Bombyx mori: one gene and its partners. The protein of the gene in region 1 purifies or fractionates together with the protein of each later gene. This does not show direct contact. Links are inferred from orthologs where the notes say so. Each region holds a gene or a part of one and is shown in the gene's direction. Other genes may lie near its edges.

Evidence for each region.
Region 2: the proteins of E3 ubiquitin-protein ligase Ufd4 (region 1) and ubiquitin thioesterase trabid purify together in Homo sapiens (affinity purification with mass spectrometry; 5 studies listed by BioGRID and IntAct, with this or other methods). This does not show direct contact. The link is inferred for Bombyx mori from reciprocal best matches to the Homo sapiens genes HECTD1 and ZRANB1.
Region 3: the proteins of E3 ubiquitin-protein ligase Ufd4 (region 1) and structural maintenance of chromosomes protein 2 purify together in Homo sapiens (affinity purification with mass spectrometry; 3 studies listed by BioGRID, with this or other methods). This does not show direct contact. The link is inferred for Bombyx mori from reciprocal best matches to the Homo sapiens genes HECTD1 and SMC2.
Region 4: the proteins of E3 ubiquitin-protein ligase Ufd4 (region 1) and COPA purify together in Homo sapiens (affinity purification with mass spectrometry, with the first as the bait; 3 studies listed by BioGRID). This does not show direct contact. The link is inferred for Bombyx mori from reciprocal best matches to the Homo sapiens genes HECTD1 and COPA.
Region 5: the proteins of E3 ubiquitin-protein ligase Ufd4 (region 1) and structural maintenance of chromosomes protein 4 purify together in Homo sapiens (affinity purification with western blotting; 3 studies listed by BioGRID, with this or other methods). This does not show direct contact. The link is inferred for Bombyx mori from reciprocal best matches to the Homo sapiens genes HECTD1 and SMC4.
Region 6: the proteins of E3 ubiquitin-protein ligase Ufd4 (region 1) and uncharacterized protein LOC100862770 purify together in Homo sapiens (affinity purification with mass spectrometry; 4 studies listed by BioGRID, with this or other methods). This does not show direct contact. The link is inferred for Bombyx mori from reciprocal best matches to the Homo sapiens genes HECTD1 and ZNF622.

The regions. Positions count from the first base shown.
Region 1 is NC_085118.1:10,509,877-10,513,376, reverse strand, and holds part of E3 ubiquitin-protein ligase Ufd4, read left to right. Parts: intron 1-151; coding exon 152-264; intron 265-868; coding exon 869-998; intron 999-1,240; coding exon 1,241-1,381; intron 1,382-1,748; coding exon 1,749-1,944; intron 1,945-2,657; coding exon 2,658-2,874; intron 2,875-3,213; coding exon 3,214-3,500. UniProt on the Homo sapiens protein: E3 ubiquitin-protein ligase which accepts ubiquitin from an E2 ubiquitin-conjugating enzyme in the form of a thioester and then directly transfers the ubiquitin to targeted substrates.
Region 2 is NC_085132.1:7,256,624-7,260,123, reverse strand, and holds part of ubiquitin thioesterase trabid, read left to right. Parts: intron 1-492; coding exon 493-606; intron 607-1,027; coding exon 1,028-1,156; intron 1,157-1,580; coding exon 1,581-1,722; intron 1,723-2,315; coding exon 2,316-2,451; intron 2,452-3,395; coding exon 3,396-3,500. UniProt on the Homo sapiens protein: Ubiquitin thioesterase, which specifically hydrolyzes 'Lys-29'-linked and 'Lys-33'-linked diubiquitin. Also cleaves 'Lys-63'-linked chains, but with 40-fold less efficiency compared to 'Lys-29'-linked ones.
Region 3 is NC_085131.1:14,294,976-14,298,903, reverse strand, and holds the start of structural maintenance of chromosomes protein 2, read left to right. Parts: upstream 1-1,128; 5' UTR 1,129-1,270; coding exon 1,271-1,438; intron 1,439-1,829; coding exon 1,830-1,979; intron 1,980-2,382; coding exon 2,383-2,544; intron 2,545-3,928. UniProt on the Homo sapiens protein: Central component of the condensin complex, a complex required for conversion of interphase chromatin into mitotic-like condense chromosomes.
Region 4 is NC_085132.1:3,498,794-3,502,293, reverse strand, and holds part of COPA (coatomer protein complex subunit alpha), read left to right. Parts: intron 1-339; coding exon 340-560; intron 561-1,457; coding exon 1,458-1,595; intron 1,596-2,955; coding exon 2,956-3,059; intron 3,060-3,500. UniProt on the Homo sapiens protein: The coatomer is a cytosolic protein complex that binds to dilysine motifs and reversibly associates with Golgi non-clathrin-coated vesicles, which further mediate biosynthetic protein transport from the ER, via the Golgi up to the trans Golgi network.
Region 5 is NC_085134.1:4,033,132-4,036,631, forward strand, and holds part of structural maintenance of chromosomes protein 4, read left to right. Parts: intron 1-616; coding exon 617-734; intron 735-2,580; coding exon 2,581-2,764; intron 2,765-3,500. UniProt on the Homo sapiens protein: Central component of the condensin complex, a complex required for conversion of interphase chromatin into mitotic-like condense chromosomes.
Region 6 is NC_085121.1:8,128,278-8,132,439, reverse strand, and holds the start of uncharacterized protein LOC100862770, read left to right. Parts: upstream 1-1,362; 5' UTR 1,363-1,436; intron 1,437-4,162. UniProt on the Homo sapiens protein: Pre-60S-associated cytoplasmic factor involved in the cytoplasmic maturation of the 60S subunit.

The DNA.
Region 1 (3,500 bases):
ACACGAACCAGACGGGGCATGATTGTCTTTGTATGCATTAAAAATATCTGGACATTACTTTGACAGATTTTCAAATTTTATCTTAGTCAGAGGTCCAGTGGCAGGTTAATTAATTATAATTTTTTTTAACCCAAATTAATACACCATATAGGTCCTGACATCGCCAGTGGCTGGGCTGACAGAAGGTCATTGCTTACCAATAATTCAACACCAACAAAACCTCGTTCTCGAATATCAGCAAAAACCGAAGCTCTTAAAGCACAAGTGAGTATTTTTTATTTATTAAATACAGTTTATAAGAGGACCTCTCTCAAAGAAGAAAATATAACAATAAACTATTAAACCGGAATAATGTCCGTTTTCTTAGTGTGTGTATGTTTAAATGTCTTTTTTAATAATGTTCGAATAATAATAAACGAAACTTAAAAGATGATTTACCAGACTCGCCAGAGATAGATAGCAGATATCTGTAACTGTGATACCAATAAACTGTGATCGTCAACCGTAACCCACTGGGAGTAGCGGTAGGCAGCGGCTTGGCTCTGCCCCTAGCATTGCTGAAGTCCATGGGCGACGGTAACCACTCACCATCAGGTGGGCCGTATGCTCGTCTGCCTACAAGGGCAATAAAAAAAAAGAGTAAGGCGTATTGGGGGTCTACAAGGGTGGATACCACCATCCGGTCTATTTCGGCCGCGGATCAATAATTATGAGTTCTGGTAAGACCGCCGGTATGCTAAACAATTGATACTTAGACCACACCCTCAAGGTGCGTCTGAGTCCACGTTGTGATGTTTGGGGACTTCGGTAACTATTTAATACATGGAGGTCACGTTCGCGCACCTATACAGATGTGTGTGGTTTGTAGGTATGTGAGCGAGCGCGTGCGCTGTACTCGCGGCACCTCGCGAGCGCAGTGACGCGCCAGCCGCGCCCGCCCGTCGCCCGCCTGCGCGCGCTGCTCGCCAGGATGCAACGCATCGCCACCCAGCCTTCCAGTCAGTCATGCACAATATACATGCACTCTATAAAATATTCATTATATTTACAACAAACTTACGTTTATTTGTGGATTATTTCCCATAGTGACAGGATCCTGATTAAAGGTGTTATGTAATTTTCGTTGAGAGTCATTGTAGCCGCATATATGCTTAAAAGTTTATCATTTATTACATTGACATGAAAATATGTTAATTATATTTGTAAAATTGGTTTATAAAATGTCTGTTTTGTCGAGCAGAAGATTGGCAACGAGAGCTCAACGAATCGCTGGATCAGCTGACCGAGTTGCTGTGTGGAGATGAGCATCTGTCTGCGTATGAGTTACAGTCGTCTGGGTTAGCGCCTGCTCTACTACAGGTCCTCTCCCCACAGGTTAACGGTCAGTCACTTCATAAAAATTAATATATAGGTACAGAACGCTTTTTATAACTTTTTTCGAATTCTTGGGACACTGGCGACCGCATTATCACGAACGAGCACATGACTTCACAATGAATAATTCAGTGACGAAACTTAAGTGTTGTTGGTTTCTAAACCTTTTAGACGTTCAAACTGGAGTGATATGTTTGCTTGTTTCGTGGCAGAAATGAGCAGGACGGTTCTTAATTAAGTAAATTAAAATCAGATAGGTAAGTTATTCTTATTATAAACCTGTCGATTTGATCAATTTATTTGATGATTTCTACGTGTTAAGCTGTAAACTAGTAAGCAGATAGAAGGTTAATAAAACGAGTTTCCAAACGTAGACGGTCCGGGCCACCTGTCGGAGCGCAGCCGCGTTGTGAGCGCGTGGATGTGCCGGGCGTCGGGCGCGGCTGGCGCGGCGCTGGCCGAGCGGCTGGTGGCCGTGCTGGAGTCAGTGGAGCGGCTGCCGGTGCTCGCGCCGCACGACGCGCCGCCCGCCCCCGCCTCTGCCTTGCACCACCTCACTAAGCGCATACGGTATGAGTCTGAACCTATTCTAGTAACCTCGAGGGGTTATTCTAGATTCACCGAACTAGTAGGTGAGCTCGCGGGGCTCAAACCTGACGTTGTTGCTAACACGAACCCTAGCAAGAGCCGTGCTTTGCAGAATCTACCACTGGATCGGAAATGCGACCCACTGGGAAGAACCAGCGAGAATCTCCGTGGGCTGTGCCTTTATGTTAATTTACTCGCCGAGTCCTTCGTTGCAAGCGACAGGTTCGACGAGAACGATGACCGGTGCTTGGGGTACATAGAAGCAACGATAGTGGATCGGAAGGATCCGAAATGACGTGTTTTGGACGACGTCGATTGTTTACCATTCGGTCCGCAGGATCGGGAAGGTTGCATCGCAGTTTAAACGCAGTTTTAACAAGTGAACTATTATTCTGTATCCTATGAAAGTCATAGGGAATTTCGAAGGACCTTTCATATGTGAATTCCAAATTGAAGAAGATTGATCATTTAATTGCCAACGGATGTCTAAGTTGCTTCTTGAAATAATTAGGGTTTGTGGCAACCAACGTAGCTGCTATATTCGAAAACGTTTCTGTTTCCCTCTAAAGTTATTATCATATTCCAATTACTGCATTCAGATGGTGGTGGAGTATGCAAAAAAAGTTGTCGATTTAAAATAGTAATAATTACTTTTTTAATCGAACTGTATTAAACAAAATCTTCCTTGTGTACAGCTTGCGCGTCGAACGTGAAAGTGATGAAATCAGCGAAGACAGCAATGCTAATAATAACAGCGGCCGTAACCTGAAAGTGGAAGCCCTCACTACCGTCCGTCAGCTAGAACGGTTCTTGGCCAAGTCCGTAGCGCGGCAGTGGTACGACATGGAGCGGTCCACCTTCCTCTTCGTGCAAAAAATAAAAACTGAAGCTCCTTTAAGCTTCACCTACGACGTAAGCCTTTAACGATAGCTATTTCATATTCAGAGTTAATCAAAGAGCTAAGATACTGGTGATATCTGGTGATACTATTTTTTCTTGTGAGTCCGCACGGGTTGGTACCACCGCCCTGCCTATTTCTGCCATGAAGCAGTAATGCGTTTCGGCTTGTAGGGCAGGGCAGCCGTAGTAACTATACTGAGACCTTAGAACTTATATCTCAAGGTGGGTAGCGCATTTACGTCATAGATGTCTATGGGCTCCAGTAACCACTTAACACCAGGTGGGCTGTGAGCTCGTCCACCAATGTAAGCAATAAAAAAATTATAAAATTAATATGATTTTTACCTTTAGCACGATTTCGATGAAAACGGCGTTCTGTACTTCATCGGAACCAATGCTGGCACTTGTGAGTGGGTGAACCCTGGCGCTCACGGGCTAGTCTACGTGTGGTCATCAGACGGTAAACAGTTACCGTATGGACGACCCGAAGATGTGCTGTCGAGATCTCCAGAACCACTCAACGTGCACACTAATGACGACAGACGCGCTTTCATTGCATTGGACTTAGGCGTTCATATTGTACCAACCGCATACACCTTACGTCACGCCCGTGGCTACGGGCAATCAGCATTGCGGAA
Region 2 (3,500 bases), on another chromosome or scaffold:
GTTAGGAGGCGCTGGTCTTGGCACTGTCAATGAACCTGTCACATTTGTACCTAGCCCATTGTGGTTGTGTGCTTACTAGAGGGCGCTAGTGTAATGACGTCACACCTATTTCTGCCGTGAAGCAGTAATGCGTTTCGGTTTGAAGGGCGGGGCAGCCATTGTACTGTAAAAACTGAGATCTTGCAACTCATGTCTTAAAGTGGGTGGCGGCATTTACGTTGTAGATGTCTATGGGTTCCGGTAACAATTTAACACCAGGTGGGCTGTGAGCTCGTCCTCCCATCTAAGCAATAAAAAAAAGTGGTGGAGAGTTTTGTGGAGAGACGCCTAGTTCTTTCAGGATTGATGCGTTTGTCCGATGTACCGTCCAGGGAATCCGCAGCATTTTTCAAAAAGCAATAATGGGCTAGAGCCGCCTTTAATGCGCACGTTTGACGCAATAAATTTAATCAAAGCTCTAGTATGTATCTGATCTTGTGTCCTTTGTTCCAGCGCCGGACCTGGCGTCAGCGATACGTCGGCACATAGCGGGGTGCTTAAGGCAGAAAAAAGGAAATTTTCCATGTCGATACATCAACGAGTTCTGTACCTTCTCGTTGCCTGCTGGTAAGCCCGCCTACCTGTATTTTGTATAAGAAAATTTCGGATGTCGAAATCAAAAACACGATAAAAAAAATTGTATTCAACATAAATGAAAGGACATACTTGTAGAACGTCAAAAAGAACTACCGCCAATTCACAAAAAGTAGCCTCCGTCGTGAGAAGAAATGGCAAGAAACTCAGCGGGCATGTCTTTTTTTAAATATTAGATTTTTTTTAATATTCATCTAATCTAAATTAATAAATAATAATAAATCGAAATTAAAACGAAAAAAAATGTTACATTCATGTTGACCGTAAATTTAAATATACCCACAAAAATTACACAATTGAAAAACCATTATATTAAATCTCAAAGATGTCATTTATAAGTCAAGTCAATTATATACTAATTAAAAAACACCTTAAAATATTTACAATTTCTCAGATATCGAAGAGTTACCGGCTGCGATACAAGAGCAGCTATTCTCCGAGTTACTGGACAGAGAAGCACAACAGACTTTAGAAGCGGATCCTCCACTCATAAACTGGAGCTTGGAGTTCACCGTTAACCTTGGTGAGCATCACTGTAATACTTTTGTGTTAATATGGACACATAAATTCATTCTCATTCATTCGAATGTCTATAAAGACACAATTAATGCAGATTCTAATTTCGACCTGAGAACCTCATACTTTAAATTGAGATGCAGAATTGGTTCACGAAATAAATGTCATTCAGTACATGATATGGAAATTATGGTTTGGTAGGAATATAAATAATATTATTGCGCTATTACAACATACTAATACTACCGATGCTAGAAGCAGTATGTAGTGTGAATAGAGTGTAATGAATCGCTGAATTCTCATCTCTGAGAATAATCAATGCTTGAGTTTATTCTGTTTTGACGGTATAAATCAGGGGACGCCTGTATAGTACCGCCCGCGGACGACAGATGGCGCCACGTGTTATGTGTGTGTGTGTTGTTATCGTCCAGGGTCCCGGCTGTACGCCCTCTGGAACCGCTCGGCCGGCGACTGCCTGCCCGACGCCGTGTGCCAGGCCGCCTACGGGGTGTTCGACAGGAACAACGCGCTCCGGACCGCGCTGGCGGACTCGCTGCACCAAGCCCACAGGAGGTGAGCTTTATTTGTATAACCATAACGTTCATATACGTATGGCAATTCATAGCTGCTTGTGACTAATTACTACAACTATATATCGACGCTTGAAAGGCAAACGTAACTAAGCGACAATAGCTGCTTCGTACATAAATGACAGGCAATGACCATATTCGATGCGCAAAAAAAATATATTTATAGGTCTATTCAAATCATTTCTATCATACAGCTAGATTCGTTAAAATAGATTTTTTTCGGGTATTTCAACTTTAAATTAGTCTACTGTAAAGTTCACGCATTGTCGCTTAGTCACGTTTGCCTTTCAAGCGTCGATATGTGTGTTTTTTTTTTAACAATCGAACACATGGCTTAAGACGTCCTACCACCAGTAATTACGCAAATTATAATTTTGCGGGTTTGATTTTTATTACACGATGTTATTCCTTCGCCGTGGAAGTCAATCGTGAACATTTGTCAAGTACGTATTTCATTAGGAAAATCGGTACCCGGCTGCGGGATTCGAACACCGGTGCATCGCTCAACACGAATCCACCGGACGTCTTATCCTTTAGGCCACGACGACTTCACAAGATCGTATTGTCTATTTTCAGTTTCTACGAGCGTTGGCAGGCGTGGGAGCGAATGCAGGCGTCGCTGTTACATTACGCGCCCGAGGAGGGGCAGCTGAGGGCGGAGTGGAGCAGGATATTAGCGTCCGCCGCCCGACCCGGCACGCCGCTGCACCAGGTGAACTCCCTTGTGTGACGCATGTAACAATAAAATTTGATGTCTTGCTCATCAACAGTCGTTTAATCCAGTCATTATATGGGGTTGACCCCGGAAATTCGACATACCCACCCAGTATATAAACACATGAGAACTTGTATGTTGGCATCCTAAAACTATTCTCAAAATTCGCATTAAAATGATAACTACTACATTTAATTTCATCCCAGTTGATTAATGTCTCAAATTAATCATCTTCATTTAATTTCACTCCATTTTATCATTTTTCATAAAATTAAGAATATAAATTAAAATAAGACATGACCTAAAGGTCTTAGTTACCAGGTCATAAAATCCTATAAAAATAAATCCTTCACTAAGCGATTAATCACACACTAATGATGACTAGTGTTGGAAATTGCGAACTGTTGCATACAAAGCCGCCGAAGTTTAATTTACCACTTAATTTCATCACATCAAGAGACACCCTAGATGGAGATCACTACATAGTATAAAACAAAGTCGCTTTCTCTGTCCCTATATCCCTATGTATGCTTAAATCTTTAAAACTACGCAACGGATTTTGATGTTTTTTTTTTTAATAGATAGAGTGATTGAAGAGGAAGGTTTATATAAGCGTTAAGCGAGGGCGGGTCAAAAATCAATTGCTGTTCGTTAGTCTCGCTAAAACTCGAGAACGGCTGGACCGATTTGGCTTATTTTGGTCTTGAATTATTTGTGGAAGTCCAGAGAACGTTTAAAATGTAGTTGAATATGAAAATGCTCGGAATTAAATAAAAATAACAATTTTGTTTTTCCTTTGATGTGTCCCCCGTCGGACGGATTCCTTTTGTTTGTTTTATGTTTATTGTATACAAAACTAGGTCTTTTATTTATCGATTGAGGCACTACGAAGTCTGCCGGGTCAGCTAGTTGTTAAATAAAAAAAAATCGTATTCGTTTAGATCCATGTGTTCGTCCTCGCGCACGTGATGCGTCGTCCGATCATCGTGTACGGGGTCAACGTTGTGAATTCCTTCCGGGGGGAGGCCTTAGGATTTGCACGGTTT
Region 3 (3,928 bases), on another chromosome or scaffold:
TCGATTTCACTCTATATAGAAAAGGGCCGCTCGGATTGTCGATAATCCCGGATCTCACGGATCATTTGGAACCTCTGGGTCTGCGGAAGGACTTCGCTTTTCTCTGTATTTTGTACCGTATGTTCCATGGGGAGTGCTATGAGGAATTCTTTGAGATGATTCCATCATCTCACTTTTACCATCGCACCGCCTGCCATCGGAGAAGAGTTCATCCTCGCTGGGTATCTTATTCTGTTTGAGATATAGAAGCACTATTTCTTGATATCGATGCTATATGATAACAGCTTTATTAAAGACACTATTGACTACATTCTAGCTCACGCTCGTGCAAAAATCAGCCACTGTCATTTACATCGACAAGTCCTAGTAGATCCATCCGCCCTGCTTTCGATTTGTTGGACATTAGTTCTAATGCTATACGATTACGCTATAATGATACTAGTTCATCGGGCGTTTTATTCTTTGGGCTACAACTTATAAAAGGGTGAGATTTAATGTCTGAGTTTGTAGACTTTTTGGAAGTTGTCAAGTCCACGTCCACGGCCGAAGCCACGGCCTATGATTTTTTTTGCGCTTATGAACTTTCACTACATGGTTAAAATACTTCATTTTCTGTACTTACTACAATTTATTTTAGTTCGAATCAGAATCTATTACATTTGAATCTGAGATGTTATCTATCTTCTTCTTCTATATATATAAAAATGAATTGCTGTTCGTTAGTCTCGCTAAAACTCGAGAACGGCTGCACCGATTTGGCTAATTTTGGTCTTGAATTATTTGTGGAAGTCCAATGAAGGTTTAAAAGGATAGATAAATATGAAAATGCTCGGAATTAAATAAAAATAACAATTTTGTTTTTCCTTTGATGTCCCCCCCGCCGCGCGCCGGACGGATTCCTTTTGTTTGTTTTAAATTTATTTTCTTCAAAGGTTTAAGTCTTTTATTTATTGATAGAGGCACTACGAAGTCTTCCGGGTCAGCTAGTATGCAATAAAGAAAAGAAAAAGAATCGGTACACTTATAATTTTTTACCTCTTTACCATATTGTTAATCTAAATCGAATTAAAATCTTTAAAAAAAATGTTGTCGAGAAAAATATAATGTGTCAATGTCATTAATCAATGAATGTCAAAAATATTTTAAAAACACAAATCAATTTTGATTTCATAAAAAAATCAACGGCTTCTCTAACGCTTGATGAATTCGTATGAGTTTAAATTTTTAATGAATTTTCTTGTTCTATAACTGTTGTTTTTATGATCTGAACATGTTTATTAAGTCAATAGTGTTAGATGGCTTCAAGTCTTACGGAAACCGAGTGGAAATTACTGGATTTGATCCAGAATTTAATGCGATCACTGGTCTAAATGGGACTGGAAAATCAAATATCTTAGATTCTATATGTTTCGTACTTGGAATCACAAATTTATCGAATGTATGTTGTAGTTTATTATTGCTAACAAAATAACAACTGTTGCTGATTTATTTCCCGCCAAATACCATTCACTGTTAAGGGTTATGGCGATATAGTAGCAGCGTTTATTCATGATAATATTCAATTACCTATCAAATATGCGACATAAATCCTATGGGCATCAGAATACATGATGACTTGAAAATAAAAACATACACTTTTCAAGTTCTAGTACAACAATAATATCGATTGATGCGAAGTAAACTCGACAATGATGTTTTCTGCTTCTTTCTGGGTACAATTATAAATAATATGAATATTCCAACAATAAAACATAGTTGCTTCTTGGTCAAAATGCTTGTTTAACAAAATTTGTGCCTAAATTATTAATTAATTTATTATAAAAAAATAGGTACGAGCAAGCAGCTTGCAGGAGCTTATTTACAAGCATGGGCAGGCAGGTATCACCAAAGCAACAGTTAGCATTACCTTCGACAACAGAGATAAGAGACAATGTCCGATTGGCTATGAGAATCATGATGAGATTACTGTCACTAGACAGGTAAGACATAGTTATATTGGAATAGTAATTAGTAATCAACAAAACATCTAGAAATTGAATAACCATTTGCTAAGTTTCCAGGTTCATGAAGCTTCCATTAAATTACTTTATTAAAAAGTTCCAAGAATACAATAGTTCCAAGAATATATACATGATTAATAAATCAATATTCAAATGTTTGAGATGACATGATTTAATACATCATTTACAAATCATTCGATCAAGTAGCTTGACTTTTACTATTAGCAAACCAAGCTAAATTTCATAAGCTTTGCTGAACAAAACAAGAAATAACGTATAGCATTCAAAAGTTATATTTCCTCATCCAAATTTGCTTAATCAAACTAATATAAAGAACATGCTATTTAACAATTATTGAAACAATTTGAAAAATAAATTTCAGGTGGTGATGGGTGGTAAGAATAAATACCTTATAAATGGTATCAATGTCCAAAACAAGAGGGTCAGTGACTTATTCTGTTCGGTTCAGCTTAATGTCAATAACCCACACTTCCTCATCATGCAGGGAAGGATTACTAAGGTGCTAAATATGAAACCTCCTGAGGTAAGCCATACATCAGCTTCAGCAGTTAAATTACTTGTATGACCTTAGTAAATAGTGTTACGAACTGAAGTTCTGGATAAAATAATTATTTCTTACTAGCTGACCAGGCAGACTTCGCAGTGCCAAGACCTAAACTTTTGTATAAAATAAACTTAAAACAAACACAAGGAATCCGTCCGACGGGGGATACATCAAAGGAAAAACAAAATTGTTATTCTTATTGAATTCCGAGAATTTTCATATTTATCTACCTTTTAAAGCTTCTCTGGACTTCCACAAATAATTCAAAACCAAAATTAGCCAAATCGGTCCAGCCGTTCTCGAGTTTTAGTGAGACTAACAACCAGCAATTCATTTTTATATATATAGATAATCAAAAACATATATAGATTATGAATCAAAATCATCAAGTCTAATTACAAAATACTTTGATTAGTACTTTGATAAGTATAGTGACTGATTTCACTATTATGATGCATTAGATTGCATTCAAATCTTGTCTTGGATATGACTTCACTTTAAGTCGTATGATTTTTCTCACTCCTCTGAATGAAATTTAATCTTTCTAAAAGCGTGTGCACTGTAATTTCTAGTAAGGTCTTAATTGCTTTGTGATTTTTTTCTTTCTCTGTACTGTGTGGCATTAGTTGTATTGTATGTTTGAGCTATTTGTGATGATTAAAATATAGGTAGAGACATACAGCCTTAGTAATAAATGTGGTGTAATATCCTTATGCTTCCCAATTCGTGCCATCGTAGGACAGAAAATATTTGACAAATTTTGAAATCACACTAATGGCATTTTCAAAAGAAGCTTTGCATGTGTTAAGCCAGTTACAAACAATATTTGGACTTTTGGTGTATGGAACAAAATTATCTGCTTGGTGGAAGATGTTTCTTATATTGTTTTCCCTCAAACACTTACTAGCCACAATATCAGTAAACTTGAGATCTTGTCTTCTGATATGGAAGATTTCCATTTAACCTTGCTCTGTGGCTGCTGCCCAGCCATTGTTGGCCCTAAGATAAAAAAAAAGCTGTGAGCACAAGAGTTTTATATCCACAAGACAATGTTGATGCTACCACTCTCCCTGAGAACTGAAGTTGAGCTGGCAGTACAACATCCCATGAGCTCGTATAGGTATGTATCACCACTCTGCCTATTTTTGCCTTGAAGCAGTAATGTGTTTCGTTTTTCAAGGGTGGGGCAGTAATTGCACACTGAGGCTTGGATGCCTTTTCCCACGGTGGGTGGCGGGGCTCCCGTATCCACTTAAAGTCAGATGGGCTGTGAGCTCAATGACCTATCTAAGTAATAAAAAAAGGCAAAAAACCTGTGCTGTAATTGTGTTTGACATCCTTGTGAATAAATGAAATGTAACTA
Region 4 (3,500 bases), on another chromosome or scaffold:
AAGCTCTTGTAGTGAATTTTAATTTAGGATTATACGTGAAATTAAAATATCAATTCATAGAGGGCGCTACCTTACAATTATTTACTAATGACAAAATTTTACATATACTTAAGACGTTTAGGATAATTGTATTTTAATTTTGGAAGGTTTCACTTCTACCACGTGTGAATTGCACACATGTATTTTTATTTTATTTTTTTATTGCCTTTGTAGGCAGACGAGCGTACGGCCCACCTGATGGTAAGTGGTTACCGTCGCCCATGGACTTCAGCAATGCCAGGCGCAGAGCCAAGCCGCTGCCTACAAATAACATAGCTAATTTGAATTACATATTTTCAGGTGAAAGTATCGAAATGTCGTTACGCCATTTGGAATACCGATATGTCAATAGTGGCTCTGTTGGGCAAGCACACGGTCACACTATGCACCAAGAAGCTGGAGCAGCTGTGCTGCATCACCGAAGGGGCCAGAGTCAAGTCCGGCGCCTTCGACGATTCCACACCGCAGCCCGTGTTCATATACACCACGGCAAATCACATCAAGTACTGCTGTAAGGACGGGTGAGTGTCTTCTGGTCAGTAGAATCGCTAGGATGTGCTGGAAGTAGTGGTACATTCCAGTTTGAAGGAACGATTTATCGCCTGTGCTCATGTTTTAAAATCTCTATGGTCTTCGCTAACCACAATGGCGACTGTCAAAGAAAACGATGCAATGTTTTTTTTCTTTCTTAAGCTATTGCATAGCTTTTATCGCGGGCTTTGAGCGCGGCGACTAAATCAAGAAGTTCCGTAACGAAAATAAAACCTAACACCCTCCACTCCGCCTACCATGTAGCTCGCGTCTAACACATTCACACGTTGCGCTTGTGTAGTGTTTGTAAATAAGCGCGCGGCGTGACGTCGCACTGCATGCGCATCATGAAAAGTCTGCCCATCTCTCTCTCGCGCGTGGTCTAGCTTATGAGTTGAAGGGGAGAGTTAATGTTTTGCTTTTGTTAATGTTTATAAATATAGCGTATTCTTATTTTATTATTATTTTTAATATTAAATTATCATTGTTTAATTATAATGGCATAAGTTGATAAAATATGCTATGCCATAGCTTTACCGCGACAGTCCCCGAGTGCCACACGTGTTTTTTTTTTCTACATATTCTATTAACCTCGAGGGGTTATTCTAGATTCACCGAACTATTAGGTGAGCTCACGCGGCTCAAACCGGAGTACTGCTAACACTGGCTCTACCAAGAGCAGTGCTTCACAGAATCTACCACCGAATCAGAAACGCGACCCACTGAGAAGATCTGACGAGAAACTCAGTGGGCTGTGTCTATGGGTTAATTTACTAGTCGATGGGTTCGACGAGGACGGTGACCGGTGCTTGAGGTACCTAAAAGCACCGTTAATGGATCGGGAGGGTCCGTAATGACGTGAGTTTTTGTTGTTGTTTTTCCCACAGCGATTACGGCATCATCCGCACTCTGGACGTGCCCGTGTACGCGGTGCGCGTGCTGTCGACGGAGACGGGCGCGCGCGTGGTGTGCTTGGACCGAGAATGCAGGCCCAAAGTACTCAACATCGACCCCACGGAATACAGGCTAGTTTTAAAATAACTATATTCAGATTAATTATTAACACATAACGTTCATCATCTGACCTCAAATTAAGATCCCCTCTACCATCATTCATGATAATCGGTTGCTCTTGGCAGAGCAGTCGTGGTCATGTGGAATTCTTGCTTATATGCCTTGATAGATGTTTTTCATAGTTTGCGAATCGAGACCCGGCGCACTCACGCGTTAAGTGGGGTTTCAGTAAGGTCTTCCACCTGATCAGTCCAACGCATGGGGATTCTTCCACGAGATCTCTTCCTTTCCAGTGAGTTTCGCTCAGTCCACATACGGCTATTCCACACCTAACGAGTTCCTTTTCTATCATTATTAGTTTACCCGGTTGCAGCAAGCCACGGACATTCCAGTTACCTATTTTTATGATGTTTTTAAGCATAGATACAGGTTTTCCAGTAGCATTATTTCCATGCAACGCCTGGTCGCTTACATTGACATGGCCGGTAACCCATTTCACACTGTTTGTCCCGGACACAAGACGGCGCCGATTGCCAAGCGGCTACCTCGGCTTACATTTTTTCGTATTCTTCCTATTCATGACTTTCTTGGGAATATAGTGCAGTGGTTTCTCGTGAAAATAAATAAATAAATAAAATAAAATCCCTTCTATAGACCTTTATATTTTATATTAACAATTTTTTTACCATGTATGTATTATACGCGTATACATCATACGTGTATACATCCCACAAACATTTTCCCGATGTAGGCGGAAAACACGTTCATTTATAATATAAAACCACACCCTGTATCGCTCCATTAATTGATAAGGAGGTTTAAGATAAGGATTTAAGTAAGCTGTGAGATGAGATTGATTGAATGAGAATTTTAGATTATAACAAAATAAACTGGTCATTTGAACTGGTCCAATGATCGGTGTTCTTTAGAATTCAGGCTTTATCTCATACGTGTGTGTACTCTGAAAATAAAAAGATTAAAGTCTTAGCTTTGTACTATTGGATGTGGACTTTTGGCTCGGTAGATAGATTTAAGTGATCAAGTTAAAAAATCACCCTGTATATGTTCAATAGAGAGAGAATACACTTTATTTCACACCAAAACACAATTTACATTAAAGAAAACAGTCAAAAAGCAGATACATTTGTATAATAGGCGGTCTTATCGCTAAAAGCGATCTCTTCCAGACTACCGTTTAATTTACAGAAATTCTGCAAAATATAAAAATATAGCAGGTATGTTGCGATGTACCATAGACAATACATTATTATAGAAAATATTTACATATAGATAAACAGATATATACCAATATACATACTTACATACAATACATTATATAGGTTATGAACAAAATAATTTTTTTGGTTTTAGATTCAAATTAGCTCTAGTGACGCGCCAATACGATCAGGTGTTGCACATGGTGCGGACGGCTAAACTTGTCGGGCAGAGCATCATCGCCTACTTGCAGGAGAAGGGTGCGTTGTGGTTTATGATTTTTTTTTTATTGCGTACTGGGTGACTTGAGATTTGAGTTCTAAGCTCTCAGTATAATGGAGCAGCCCCACACTTTAAACCAAAACGCATTACTGCTTCACGGCAGAAAATAGGCAGGATGGTGGTACCTACCCGTGCGGACTCACAAGAGGTCCTACCACCAATAATTATAATTTTGCGGGTTTGATTTTTATTACACGATGTTATTCCTTCACCGTGGAAGTCAATCGTGAACATTCGTTGAGTACGTATTTCATTAGAAAAATTGGTATCCATACCGGACGTATCCTTTAGGCCACGGCGACTTTAAAATTGTACCTGGATAACTTATGACAGGCAGGAGATCCTTCCCGGTGGCAGGCCTTATGACAGGCAGGATTATTAGGCTAAACTCGCCTCACGCGGCCCAAATAGTGCCAAGC
Region 5 (3,500 bases), on another chromosome or scaffold:
CAACACGATACACTACAGATTATTAACAAATTAACGAGACACAAAACAAACGACTAACAAATATATGAAAATACAATAATGAGAGAAACGCGCGATCAGTACGAGGCTTTGTGGCGGACTGCCGGCGCAGCAGCCCGGCGTCACCTGCGATAACGCGGCCGCGCGTTGGCTCCTGATTGGCGCGCGCACGCATCACGCAATCAGGAGCCAATCAGGCGCATAACGCATTTCGTGTGACATGCTAGTACGATTTTGGTCCCCATAATTTTCATACCCCGGGCCTATATATGTAAATCGATTCTAAAGGAGTAAACTCCAAAAATTACCTAAAATAATCTTTACATCGCGTGCCTGCGAAAACTATTGATGGTATAATAAAATAATGTACTACTGCTTTGTAGAACACATTATTATTTACCAAAAGTGTCGGGACAGCATATGTCTAACTATTGTAGTTATGTCGCAATAAGTGTTCTTTTATTTAAAAAAATAAAACAACGTCAAATATCGTTGAAATTTTTGTTAAAGACCCGAGCGGAGCCGGAGCGGGCCGCTAGTTTAGTGTAAAGTTCGAAACTCCAATTCTGTACAATAAAAAATAAACTTTTCCTTCCAGGATTCAATACGATAACAATGAAACTGAAAGAGATGTACCAAATGATAACATTGGGAGGCGACGCTGAACTAGAACTTGTTGACTCGCTGGATCCATTCTCCGAAGGGATTATATTCAGGTATTTTGTTTTAAGGATCGTACTATACCCGATCCTGCGGACCGAATGGAAAGCAGTCGACGTCGCCCCAAACACGTCATTTTGGATCCTCCCGATCCACTAACGGTGCTTTTAGGTACCTCAAGCACCGGTCACCGTCCTCGTTGAACCCGTCGCTTGCAACGAAGGGCTCGATAAGTAAACTAACCCACAGACACGGTCTACTGAGTTTCTCGCCGGATCTTCTCAGTGGGTCGCGTTTCCGATCCGGTGGTAGATTCTGCGAAGCACGGCTCTTGCTAGGGTTCGTGTTAGCAACGTCCTCAGGTTTGAGCCCCGTGAGCTCACCTACAAGCTCGGCTAATCTAGAATAACCCCTAGAGGCTACTAGAATAGGAAGGAAAAAAATATATATATTCGTACTGGCCTATGATAATTTATGGAGTATTTTTATATAAAGCCTCTTATGTGTTTAGTAATAAAATTATAATTCCCTTGACTGGTCTTCATCTCGAAGTCTCAATTGCATATATTTTAATGTTTAATTCTTCGTAATGTAAGTTTATTTCTAAAGAGTATTAAGGCAATGGCGCCGATTCGATATATGCGATTAAAATGTCTGAAATGCAAAATTTCGACTAGTGGTAGGTAGCATGTGCTGTGAGTCCGCGCGGGTAGGTACCACCGCCCTGCCTATTCTGCTGTGAAGCAGTAATGCGTTTCGGTTTGAAGGGCGGGGCAGCCGTTGTAACTATACTTGAGACCTTAGTACTCATATCATATATAAGGTAGGTGGCGGAATTTACCGTCTAGTTTTTTTTTTTGCTCCGCTAACCACTTAACACCAGGTAGGCCGTGCGCTCGTCCACTCATCTAAACTATAAAAAGTAAATCTATACATAATGTGTAAAATAACTATATTTGGGCCTGTATTTATCAATGTTATGTAAGTAAATAAGCAGAAGAGTATAAAATGACAGACAAAAATAGCACATAAGATTTGCTTAAAATCAACTTTATTAAAATTAACAATTAATAAGTAGTTAGTTTTGATTAAAAACAATCTTTATATTCATAGGTATTTATTGTAAAATCACAATCAAATAACATTGAATTTAAAATTCTTCTGGGTTAACTAACATAATCTAATCTAAGTAATTAGTTAAAAGTTAAGTAATCAGTTCTTTTACACACATTACGGGCAGCGCATTCGGTTTTGTATAGAATGCCTAGGCAAAGTATAAAATGAAAAATATTACATACTTTACCTTAACGTTTTAGGTATTCTATACATTGCCTAAGTATTGTATAGAATACTGTATTATACAGATTGTCGGTAACACATACAATTTTTCACAATTTTTCCCCGGTCACCGTCCTCGTCGAACCCGTCGCTTGCGACGAAGGGCTCGACGAGCGAACTAGCCCATAGGCACAGCCCACTGAGTTTCTCGCCGGATCTTCTCAGTGGGTCGCGTTTCCGATCCGGTGGTAGATTCTGCGAAGCTCTGCTCTTGCTAGGGGCAGTGTTAGCAACACTCCGGTTTGAGCCCCGTGAGCTCACCTACAAACGTTAGGGTGAAGCTGAAATAGCCTCTCAAGGCTATCAGGATAGGTAGAAAAAAAAAAAAAAATTATTGTCTGTTTGTTCCGGTTAATCTCTGGAACGGCTGGACCAAATTTGACGAGACTTCCACTAATAGGTAGCTCATGATATAAGGAGTAACTTAGGCTACTTTTTCTAGACTTGCTTAGCCCCGCGGCGTCACTCGCGGTACGAAAATAACCGCAGATAACATCGCGGGACTCGGCCAGTAAAAAAAATAATAATCTCACGACACCTAAATAACTCTTGTTTTGTTTACAGCGTGCGTCCGCCGAACAAGTCCTGGAAGAACATATCGAATTTATCGGGCGGCGAGAAGACGTTATCCTCACTGGCCCTGGTTTTCGCTTTACATTACTACAAACCAACGCCTCTGTACGTCATGGACGAGATAGACGCGGCCTTGGACTTCAAAAACGTTTCGATCGTGGCAAACTATATTAAGGTCGGTGACCTTTACATATTAATATATTATAATAATATTACATATTATTAAATACGGGCATTGCTGACGTCCATGAGCGACGGTGACCACTTACCATCAGGTGGGCCGTATGCACGTCTGCCTACAAAAGAAAAAAAATATATATTTTTTTCTTTTGAGGGATTTTATGACCTGGTAACTAAGACATTTAAGTCATGTCTTATTTTAATTTAAATTATTATTTTTTATGAAAAATGATAAATATGGAGTGAAATGAAATGAGATGATATGGGATGAAATATAATCTCAGTAAAATAGTGGTCATCTACTAAGATATTTTCAGTGGACTTTTTAGAAGTTACGTCTAGCGGCTTTGTTTCATTTTCCCACATTTGTGCACTTTCACAGATATTAAACAGTTAATAAACCACCGTTACTACACATTTAATCCTAAAGAAACATTACAATAGACAAAATAAAACAAATCACACAACTTCACTCCTCGCAGATATAGTACAGATACAGTAAGAGCTCTTTATCCACGAGATATGTGTTCCGTAAATATGCCGTGAATATCAAATGGCTATTTAGGTTTTTTTTTTATTATGATCCGATAGACACTGGCGGGTAGCCATCATACAACGCAAGATATTTGACAGATGCCTGAATCTCACTTACGATATTTTCAAGATAAGCTTGCATATATACAAGTTCCGAACAACAATATTCGGACCGTCGGTCTACCGAGCAAATATCA
Region 6 (4,162 bases), on another chromosome or scaffold:
CTCCTGATATATCTATTTCCTCCCCATCTCTGGTGCCGTCTTTGTCCTGGGAAACATTAAAACTAAGTTATGGAAGTGACCACTATCCTATTATTATTTCATTTTCAAACAATAACATAGTAATTAAGGATCATTCTAAACATAAGTCTACAATAAAGTACAATCTATCTCAAGTAACAGATGAGGATTGGAAAACGTTTCAATCGCGTTTGGATATTAAACTTGCCAACTGTGAAAATATTAATAACTTAGATTCCGATGCACAAGCAAAAATTTTAGCTTCTGCTTTTATAGAAACAGCTGATGAAGTTTTCCCTTCTAAAAGCCCTTCTGGTATTTTTATTCCTTCTCCTCCTTGGTGGGACCGGGAGTGCACTCAGGCGGTAAAGGAGAGAAAAGCAGCCGAATTATTATATTTAGAAGAAACTATTACAGAAAATTTTGATATTCTAACAGAAAGTATCAATAGTACTCGGAATCTTTTATTAAAAAAGAAACGAGAAGGTTTTAAAAAATTTTGTGCTTCGATTTGTCCTAATATCTCACCTTCTGAAGTATGGAACCAAATAAGAAGATTTAGATCTGCATATAAAGAAAATACAGTCAAAGACTTACCTTATGATCTGGCTGACAAGTTTCTTGATAAATTAGCTCCCCCTTATGTTCCAGAAGAATGTTTAGTTCTTATTCCGTCTGTCCTTCCTTTCTCATGTTCAGATCCAGTTTCAGATTTTGATTTACCTTTTTCATTTAATGAACTGAAGGGGGTAATCTCGAATCTTAAGGACTCTGCTCCAGGTGATGATAAGATTCCTTATTCTTTCTTTGCCCATTTGAGTGATTCTAGTCTCACATATTACCTCAACCTTATAAATTCTATGTTCATTACATGTGTTATCCCAGAGTCATGGAAAAAACAAATTATTTTACCCATTCTCAAACCGGGTAAATCTTCATCAGATGTATTGTCATACAGACCCATAGCTCTCTCATCTGTAATGTTGAAAATTTTAGAACATTTAATTAAAATTAGATTAGAATGGTTTGTGGAAAGTAACAGTTTACTCAGTGACAGTCAAAACGGATTTAGAAGGGGTAAAAGCACAATGGACAATCTTGCTACCTTTATAGTGGATATTTTGGTAGCTTTCTCACACACTGAATCTATTGTAGCTGGATTTCTGGATATTTCCGCTGCATATGATAATGTACATATTCCTACACTCCTTTACAAATTACAGAAAATAAGGGTTCCTGTTAGACTAGTTAACTTGATTATTACTATAATGTCAAATCGAACTATCATTTTAAACTCTACCTCCTCAGATTCACAACAATCTAGAACTTTATGGAGAGGTCTCCCTCAAGGATCTGTGTTAAGTCCAATTTTATACAATATATACACTTGTGATTTGGAAGAGACCCTTGGAAATCAAGTAAGAATTCTTCAATATGCTGATGACCTCCTTATGTACACTTGCAATAAAGACATACATAAGGCTTGCTTATCCCTTAGGAATTCATTTCTAACTCTTAAATCTTGGTTAGATAATAATGGACTTTCCCTTTCTGCCTCCAAAAGTTCTATTGTTGTATTCTCTAGAAAACGTTCTCTTCCTCCAATTAATATATTCTATGAGAATGAATTAATTTCTGTAAACAGTCATGTTAAATTTTTAGGTTTAATTTTAGATTCAAAATTAAATGGAATTCAACATTGTAATTACATTACAAACAAGTGTTTGAGTAATATGAATATCTTGCGTTCTCTTGCCGGTGTATGGTGGGGTGCCCACCCATTCAATTTAAAACTTTTATATAATGCCATAGTAAGATCAGTTTTAGATTATGGTACTTTTTTACTTCAACCAGGGGATGTGAATGCTTTCAAAAAACTAGACTCTATACAGTCTAAAGCACTCCGAATTATCACTGGAGCCATGAAATCTAGTCCTGTTACAGCATTACAGGTAGAATGTGTTGATCCTCCTCTTCATTTGAGACGTCAATATTTATCTGATAAATTCGTTTTCAAATCCCTACAAATCCAAAATAATCACATTATTACCAAACTTAAAACTCTAAATGAGCTCATAGAATCCTCTTCATTTTGGAAACATAAACAGTTACCATGTTTAATAATTAGCTATAGAAAATATTTGTCTATTCAAACTCCAACTCATCACTCTCATATTTTCCCTCTATTTTGTGTAAACTATAAGGCATTGATTTTAAAGCCGGATATTCATCTTGACATGGGTGTTTCTAAGTACCAACCGCAACCAAATACTAACTTTAATTTCGTAATAGACCAAGATTGGAATGACTATAACCATATATATACAGATGCTTCTAAACACCCTCAAGGTTGTGTTGGTGTAGGAGTCTATCATTCTCAATCAAAAATAGTTGAAAAGATAAAATTACCATCTGAAACATCAGTGTTCACTGGTGAATGTTTTGGAATATACAAGGCCATAGAATACATTTTGATATTTAAACTAAAGAAAACATTAATACTAACCGATTCAAAGAGTGCTTTACAGGCTCTTGCAAAATTTCCTTTTAAATCTCAACCTATTTACCCTATTCTCTTAGACTGCAGAAAATTGTTAATGAGATGTATGGATCAAAATCTTACAGTATCATTTGTATGGATACCTAGCCATTGCGGAATTAAAGGAAATGAAATAGTTGATAGAATTGCAAACGAGGCTATCAATTGTGGTGATATTTATAGTTTCAAAAATTATAGTCATGATTTAGTTAGCCTCCCTAAAACATATTTGAATAATGCTTGGAGTGCACAGTGGTATAATGGCGATAAAGCGAAATATTACCGAAGGGTATGATAGGGTGGACTAGCGGCTATAGCAATTAATTAAAACGTAAATTAAATACTTGAAAACATTGTGTTGACTTGTATAAGAGAAAATATAATTCAGAATGACACCGCACATCAAAAGTAAAAAGGAACATAATACAAATTTAAATATAGTGCAGCATAGACAATTATACGTGGACAGCATCACGACCTTCCAACACCTTCTCCTGATGTTCACTCATGTTGCCGAGACACGTTTCTATACATGCATTAATCTTGCACAGTGTCTTTCAAATTTTACTTTTGACAATGGTTTTGTCATTACGTCAGCTAACTGAATTTCTGTGGGACAGTAGCTAATATTTATTAATCCATGCACGAAGTGTTCATGTATAAAATGGTACCGCACGTCTATGTGCTTAGACCTTTTGTTGAAGGATCCAGACTTCACAAGTTGAATCGAACTTTGGTTATCAACATGTAGATTTATTTTTATGTCCATACCGGTTATTTCCTGTAATAGAGATTTGAGATACAATGCCTCTTTGCAACAGTCGGCTGCGGCTATGTACTCGGCTTCGGTCGACGATAGCGCTACTATAGGCTGCCTCTTGGATGCCCATGATATTGGTCCATCGGCTATCATTAGCACGGAACCAGAAGTGCTTCTTCGCGTCAATGGGTCTCCAGCATAATCCGAGTCGCTGTAAGCATCGATGCTCTCTATCGGTTTGTTTCGTTTGAATAAAATGCCTTTATGTTTGGTTCCCACTAAATATTTGAATATTTTCTTCAATTTTGTAACGTCTTCTCTAGTGGGGTTTTCGACCTTCCTGCTAACTAGATTGACCGCTTGTGCGATATCTGGTCTGGTTCTGGTAGACAGGTACAGTAAACTTCCCACTGCTTCCCTATAGGGATATTCCTTCTCCTGGGCAGTTTCCTGTATCGACTTTGAATCGCTACTTGCGGGCGTGTCACAAGGTTTGGCATTTTTCATGTTGTATTTTTCCAGTACGTCATTTATGTAGGATCTCTGAGTAAGAATGATTCCTTCTTTTGAGTTTTTTATTTCCATACCCAGATAAGTACTTGGATTTTCATTCTTTTTCATTTGAAATTTGGTTTCAAGTTTCTTCAAAATAGCTTCGATCTTTTTCTTATCTTTTCCTATGACAAGTCCATCATCAACGAATAGTCCGATTATTATTGATTTATCTTCGTTTATGAAAACGCATCGATCTGTTTTGATTGTCTTGAATCCCAAATCAAACATCGCTTGGGTAAAAGTTTTGTTCCATGTAAATGGAGCTTGTTTTAATCCGTACAAAGATTTTT